Linked DNA regions of Tribolium castaneum. The protein of the gene in region 1 interacts with the protein of each later gene in a biochemical or structural test. Links are inferred from orthologs where the notes say so. Each region holds a gene or a part of one and is shown on either strand. Other genes may lie near its edges.

The links.
Region 2: the proteins of WW domain-binding protein 11 (region 1) and PQBP1 form a complex in vitro, tested with the Homo sapiens proteins (2 studies listed by BioGRID and IntAct, with this or other methods). The link is inferred for Tribolium castaneum from reciprocal best matches to the Homo sapiens genes WBP11 and PQBP1.

The regions. Positions count from the first base shown.
Region 1 is NC_087394.1:25,616,441-25,620,633, reverse strand, and holds WW domain-binding protein 11, read left to right. Parts: upstream 1-1,325; 5' UTR 1,326-1,432; coding exon 1,433-1,496; intron 1,497-1,551; coding exon 1,552-1,677; intron 1,678-1,735; coding exon 1,736-1,833; intron 1,834-1,890; coding exon 1,891-2,139; intron 2,140-2,600; coding exon 2,601-3,410; 3' UTR 3,411-3,450; downstream 3,451-4,193. Other genes in the region: Mnat9 (N-acetyltransferase 9-like protein), read right to left, coding at 333-685, 740-796, 844-953, 1,000-1,076. UniProt on the Homo sapiens protein: Activates pre-mRNA splicing. May inhibit PP1 phosphatase activity.
Region 2 is NC_087398.1:4,422,849-4,425,825, reverse strand, and holds PQBP1 (polyglutamine-binding protein 1), read left to right. Parts: upstream 1-1,319; 5' UTR 1,320-1,421; coding exon 1,422-1,476; intron 1,477-1,524; coding exon 1,525-1,738; intron 1,739-1,792; coding exon 1,793-2,255; 3' UTR 2,256-2,294; downstream 2,295-2,977. Other genes in the region: zyd (sodium/potassium/calcium exchanger 3), read left to right, coding at 2-103, 151-272, 319-531; hydrocephalus-inducing protein-like, read left to right, coding at 2,346-2,429, 2,478-2,672, 2,714-2,912, 2,962-2,977. UniProt on the Homo sapiens protein: Intrinsically disordered protein that acts as a scaffold, and which is involved in different processes, such as pre-mRNA splicing, transcription regulation, innate immunity and neuron development.

The DNA.
Region 1 (4,193 bases):
TGAGGTTTAAACGAAACATCCTCTATTATTTTACTTTCACGCGAATTATATTTTTCTCTAGTGAATGAATATGTTTTTAGTGTCCTTTTATGTAAATTAAGTCACTTATGTTTCAATTATTTTATTTGGTATTTTGTAAATTGTAAATGGTTAAATCACTTATTTATTTTAAATTTTTATTTGAGCTTTCAAAAATATAAATTTCCAAGTAATGTCTAAGGATTTTAGGCAACAAAACCTAGGAAATACTGAGCAAAGTTTGAATAAGCTTTAGGACCGAATTAAAAGTGAGGAAACAAAAAGGCACTAAATTTAAAGCATGAACAAAAAAATTATGTTTTATTTTCAACCACCTCATAATCGCCAACTGTACTTTTAAGCCACGCTATCCACGTCTCATCAACTATTTTACTGAAAGTAATTTCTTTAAAAATCTCGCTACGACCAGTTTCAATAAACCCGCAACTTTTGAACATGTGGATGCTAACATCATTATCGTCTGAAATTTTTACAACAAATTCTTTTACACCGAGTGTTTCAATTCCGTAGAGAAACATGAGTAGCATGGCTTCAGAACCGCATTTCCTACCTCTAGCCCATTGTTCTGCAATCATAATTTCAGCCTCTGCACAAATCCTGTCGTCAGCGTTTGCAAAAAACAGATTTGTGTCGCCAATCATTGACTCTTAAAACAGTGCATTTATTTCGTCGTGCTTTTTGTCTAGACTAACTAATTTACCAATTTCGTTTCCACAACTGTTGTATTTCTCTTTATCAAGAATTATGAATGTACATTCTGAAAAAATGAACTAGAAAATTGCAAAGTAAAGTGTGCCAATTTACTGTCTTCGTCCATCATCCAGGACTTTTGCATGTCGTATTCCTCCTCTAAAGTAAGGGGCTCCGAAGCCGTCAGCTTTTGGAGTTCTTCAGATTGCATCCAACTGTGATACCTGAAAATTGTTATTAAAATGACGAAACAACGCTATTTTCACCTACTTTGAGACATGTTCGGCTTTGTAAGGCACTAAAATTGTCCGGCAGCCGATAATTTGTGTGTTTTTGTTTATTAACATTTTTAGATTATGTAAGGTTATGTCTTGATGTTTGTAGCCGATTAACTTTGGTACCGAATCACTCTAATCTGTGACCGAATACCGAAAAATTAAATATTAATTTAAATATTTTGACTGTTGTAGATAAATTAAATAATGGTGCTTCATTTTTAAATGGAAAAATATAATGTTTTGGTAGGCTGTTTAAACATATTTCTATAGAATAAGATAATACAGAATTCAGTGATTGACTTTGTATTTCGACCACAGAATATTCGGCTGCAAGTCAATTCGACCGCGCGCCATGTAATGTTTGCAATGATGTTTTGAGTGCATTTTACGAGTTTTACGTGAAAATAAAGTGATATTAAGTTAAAATGGGGCGCCGGTCGATTAATACCACTAAGAGTGGTAAATACATGAATCCCACCGACCAAGCCAGTAAGACGATGTTTGGGTTTGAGGTTAGGTCACTCAAAATTTTGCCAATTTTCAGGAAAAGAAGCCCGGAAACAGGAATTAAAAAAGAATAAAAAGCAGAGACAGATGGTACGGGCCGCTGTTTTGAAAGGCAAAGACCCGCAACAGATTTTAGAAGAAATGGAAAAAATTGATCAGATGGGTACAGTTCTTGTAATGGCTTGAATAACACGGAAGATTGACTGTTTTTGTGTTTTTAGAGTATAATGTTTATCAACCGTCGCCCTTAAATGAGAAAGTTTTAAAAGACAAGAGAAAAAAGTTAAGGGATACGTTAGATCGAGTTCTTAGTATGTATGTAAGTGCTGAAGACAGGGATTTTAATTGGATGGTGTCGAATCGTTGTTTTTTTCAGTATAAAGACGATCCTGATAAGTGGGCCGATTTGAAACGAAGACAAGCCGATTATGAACATAAAAGGAACCAATTAGTCGCATTTTATGAGTCTGTTAAGAGTGCACAGCAAGTCCAAGTTGATGAAATTCCTCTGCCACAACTACCCCAACAACCAAGTAATGCCCCAGCGCAAATCCCGCTACCTTCGGAAAGAAAACAAGAGCACACGATTTATTCCATAGCCACCGCGCTAAAGTTGCAAGCACTGGTATGTATTTTTTAAAGCATTGGCAACTTAATAAAAACAACTTTGTATTAAATGAAAGTTTTACACTTCTATTTTATAACTACTATTTTTTTACTTTATTTTTCTTTTACTGTTTTTATTCCTTCGAGCATTTATGCAAACATTCTTTTTATCTATTCCATCGTGGGCACTATATTTTGTCGATCTGGCGATCTTTTACTTATTTTACTTCTTTCAAATGTATCTGAGCTTCCTAATTCGCTTTTCCTCATGTATCTTCACTTTTTATGCTTATAAAATTTTCTGAGCACTCTGACTCTTATTCGACACTCGATTTTTACGCACTAAAGTTTTCTTAACTCCAAAATAAAGCATTTGCAAAAACATTCAAAATTATTTTTACAACCTACTAAGGTAGCAAAAAAATTGAAAAAATTCGAGAAGTCGTTAAAGTAAAATTGCTATTTTTTTTGTAAAATTAGGGCCAGCCTGTGCGTGAGCCCCCCGGGTGCCCCCCCGGCCCGCCACCAGACATCAACGACGACGGCGAAGTGGAAGACTTCACTCGAACCGACGACGAAAAGGACGAAACAACTGAAGACTCCGACACAGACCCCTCCTCCAAGCCCACCTCCCTCCAACAGAAAATGGTGGCTTTATCTGGCCAAAACGTCGACGACTTCATGAAAGAAATGGAAGTCGTCCAGAAAAAACTCGAAACAAAAGAAGACGAAACCCGGGCTAAAACCCACCCTGAACCACTCATCCCTCCCGGAACGGACCTCCCACAGCCCCCCACTCCACTCCTATTCCCCAATCCTGGACTTCGATTGCCTCCAGGCCCGCCCCCCGGCCGTCCCCTTCTCCCCCCAGCGCCACCACCGGGATTACCACCGCCGCCTAGGATGCCGCTGCGTATCCCACCAGCGCCACCTAGGATGATTCGCTTGCATGGGCCCCCGCCTACGCTCCCAGGGGGCCCCAATTTGCCCTTAGGGACCCCGAATGTGTTGTCGGCAGCCCCCCAACTCATAAATCGGGTCGAGTCGACCAAACAGGGGGCGACGATTTCGGCGAAGCCCCAAATTCGCAACTTGAGTGCTGATGTGACGAGGTTTGTGCCCTCGGCGTTGAGGGTTAAAAGGGAGGATAAAAAACACAAGCCAAATACGAGGACGTTGCACGAGTTGAAGCAGAAAGAGTACCATTTGCATCAAAATACGCACCCAGAGCAACATACGAAAGATGACGCCTATAAGCAGTTTATGGAAGAAATGCAGACGCTATTGTAGTTTCTTTTATTAAAAAAATTACAGTTTCCTGTAATGAAAATTTTTACTTAGACTGGTAAAAAAAATGTAGGTAGTAAGCTGTGACGTGCAATCTGAATTGTCAAATTGACAGTTGTACACCGCAGCCTTGATTTTGGAAAAATCGTGCGTGATCGTTGTTTTCCTCACACTTGCTTGCGTCATGATTTTTATCGCAATTGTTTAATTGCCTAATAAACCGCATTGACGTCACTTGAAATAAAAGCTCAATTCGCGCGGTGTATATCTTATATTTGGCAAATGGATAATACAAACAATGGTACCTATCATTGTAAATATTTACTTATAATTAAAAAATTAAGGAGCAAGAGTCAAACAAACAACTCGAACACTGTGCAAAATAACATAATATTTGGGATTGTAACCACTAAAAATAAAACCGTTCGTTTCCCGTGATATAAGAAAATGAAGCGCCTGATCCTCGCTCCCGTTCGGAATATAAAATAAATATAAACGAAAGAAACACAAATTGATACATTTGAGCCAGTGTAGAAAATAAGTGGCAGTGAAATATATTTGTAACTATTGTGATCGAACTAAAACAATGCTTTTATTTATGTATCAATTGTTTTCCTTTTCTTGTACAGATCATAAAATTAAAGATAACGAGACATTATTGCTTGATAACTGCAGAAATGAAGAAAATTGAACAAAACAATTATTGAGATCATATTTTTTGTAAAGAGAGAGAGCAACAGTAGTACAGCATTGTTCAAAACAATTTATTACATCCAGAGTGGGTAG
Region 2 (2,977 bases), on another chromosome or scaffold:
GGGGACACTCTAAAAATCCCAGATTCCGTCATGGGAATCACTTTTTTGGCCGCCGGAACCAGCATTCCCGAGGCCGTTTCGAGCGTAATTGTGGCCAAGCAGGGTAAGTAAAGGCCAGTTTTACCACCGGGATAATTTTACCATTTCAAGGTCACGGCTCGATGGGCATAAGCAACTCGATCGGGTCCAACACCTTCGACATTTTGCTTTGTTTGGGCCTTCCTTGGTTCATCAAAGCCACGTTTATGCCGACAATTGCAGGAAAACATTGGGTCGGTGTTCAGTTTTTAATTATTAATTTTACAAGATTGGTTTTAGGTGGGGATAAATTCGGCGGGAATTGAGTACAGCGCCATCTCCCTTTTGTCGTCGCTGCTCTTGCTATACCTGGTGTTTGCCGTAAATAAATTCCGACTAGATAAGAGAGTGGGTCGGATATGTTTGTTGATGTACGCCATTTTTCTTATCTTGGCCAGTCTCATCGAGCTTAATGCCTTCTTCAGAGTCAATTTACCGACTTGTGGGCGGTGAAGTTGATCAGCGCTCTTCTTGTTTTCATAGATTTTATTTTATTACAGTTTTAATGGGAAAATTGTGATTTCTTTCTGCAATATTCTTGGTTCACCATCATGTCAGATCTCAAACAATTCTGTTGTAGAGTAAGGAAGGAAATTTGCATCGCACCTCATTCTAGTTTAAGTTATTGCGTAATCTGTCCTGTACATAGAACAATTTAAACCATCCTAACAACAGTAGGGTTATTTTTTAAAAACTATTTTATTTTGTAGCTGACATTATGTACATTATGTTGCATTACAGACAGTCCTACTATTAATTTTGTAATTTATGTTCACTAGATACAAGTATGATCAAAGTTTCATTTGTTTTTTATTTTACCAAGCCCCTCCCTAAAAGATCCCAAGTACGGACCAACAATTTTTAGAATCATAAATAATATAATAGTAAATCAGTTGATCAAACTTTTAGTTTTCGTCGTATTTTTTTTACTTCTTAAGTCTTTAATTGTTTTTAATTTTTTTTCACGATGAATAATCGTAAAAAAAGCCCGAGTAGCACACATGTCTTTGAAAAAAGTCAGCGATAACGTAGTACTTTCATTATAAAAAGAAAATAAAAATTGTCTACGTTTTTTGACAAACATAAAGTTTTTAAATAAATACAGGGTGATTTTTTATTTCTTTATATTAAATAAAGGAGGGCTTAAAACATCCAGTTATCATGTGTGGTGACGTAACAAATACTGTTTTTTTTTTAAACAAAAAATTGTAGCCCGGGGCAGCAATGGACCTAAATACGCCACTGTGCTAAGGATAAAAAATCCGAATCCGGCCCTGTGCTGTCACCCTCGACAGTTGAGGTTATGTAACATTGAGGCTATATTTACCAAACAAATCGCTAAAATGCCTCTCCCTTCGGCTCTAGCGGCCCGTTTGGCAAAAAGGGGGCTGTTGGCTGGTAAGCCACTATTAAAACCCTACCCCCAACCAATTTAACAAATTTTAGGCAAAAAATCGGACGATCAGACGAAAAAACGCAACTTCAAAGGTTGGTCCACCTGCCCCAACAAAAGCAACATTTTCCACGAATGCACCTACTGGTGTGAGACGCACTGGAAGGGTGTTCTGACCCCCGACCCCCGTTACATGCGAAACATGCAAAAACTCCTCTTCAAATACCCCTTGCCCAACAGTTGGACTGAGGTCTTTGACAAGGGATTGTAGGTTTTGTGGGCCAAAAGTTGGAAATTTATGACAAAAAATGTGTGTTACAGGGGGCGTTACTACTACTGGAACATGGAAAATGACTTGGTTTCGTGGCTGCCTCCAAGACACCCTAAATCAGTGAAGACCTTAAGTGCGGCGAAACTTCGCGAGAAACGGGTTCTAGCCGCGGAAAATGACAAGTCTGATAAGGGATCGGACGATAATGACTCGGATGATGATGACAGGGGTCATAAACATTCGGATCGGAGGGACAGGGACCGGGATAGGGATGACAGGAGGCACAGGAAGGAGGACAGACACGGGAGGAAGAAACGAAGGGAGGATATCATAGACCCCATGGACCCAGCGGCTTATTCGGACATCCCCCAAGGGACGTGGAGTGACGGCCTGGAGAGCAATAAAACAAGGGCTGATAATACGGCTTCTGGAGTCCTCTACCAGCAAAGACCTTACCCCGCTCCTGGAGAAGTCTTAGCTAATAATAATAAAGAAAAAAGCAAGAAAAAATAATTGTGTATTAGTTTATTATCAATATATCGCTAAAACCATTTTATTGTTTTATTTGACAAGTCCTACACGTCAGAATATTTTATTCAAAAAATGGAGTCACACCTTATTTGTGAGCCCCATAGTAGCAACTTGATGCGCGTTTTGCGCCTCATTTTAAACAAACCGGAGGCTCCAGTACGTCCCCAAGGCCACAAAACCGCCCCCTTAATTCCCTACTTGTAGTTCCTCCCGTCTGAATATTTAAACGAAATGAAAATGAGTCTGGACGAACGCCTTGAAAGTCTCTCAAAAACCCGCAAAAACAGGCTTTTGCCCCAATCTAGCCCCTTTCTAGCAACCCCCGATTTAATAATCTTCCAGAATTTCCAGCTTGGGAAAAGCTACAGTGCTAACTTAACCCTCCAAAATAAAGAACAAGTACAAACGTAACACTCAGTTTAAAATAACACAGGATTTAGTCTTCCAGATGCGTGCAAATTCGCTTTGAACCCACCATTCATTTCAAACTCTCGCACCCTTCGAAAGTCGTCTGGACCAAAGTAGCTCCCGGCATGACCTACCAATTAACAATCACGTTCGTTTCTGATGAATTCAAAGACTACGAGCACGAAATTAATTTTATAACGGAAGAGGAACAATTCACAATTCCAATTTTCGGTTCGGTACTAAATAATTAAGGCCTAATTGACGATTACTAAATTTTCAGCGTTCCGTCCGAGACA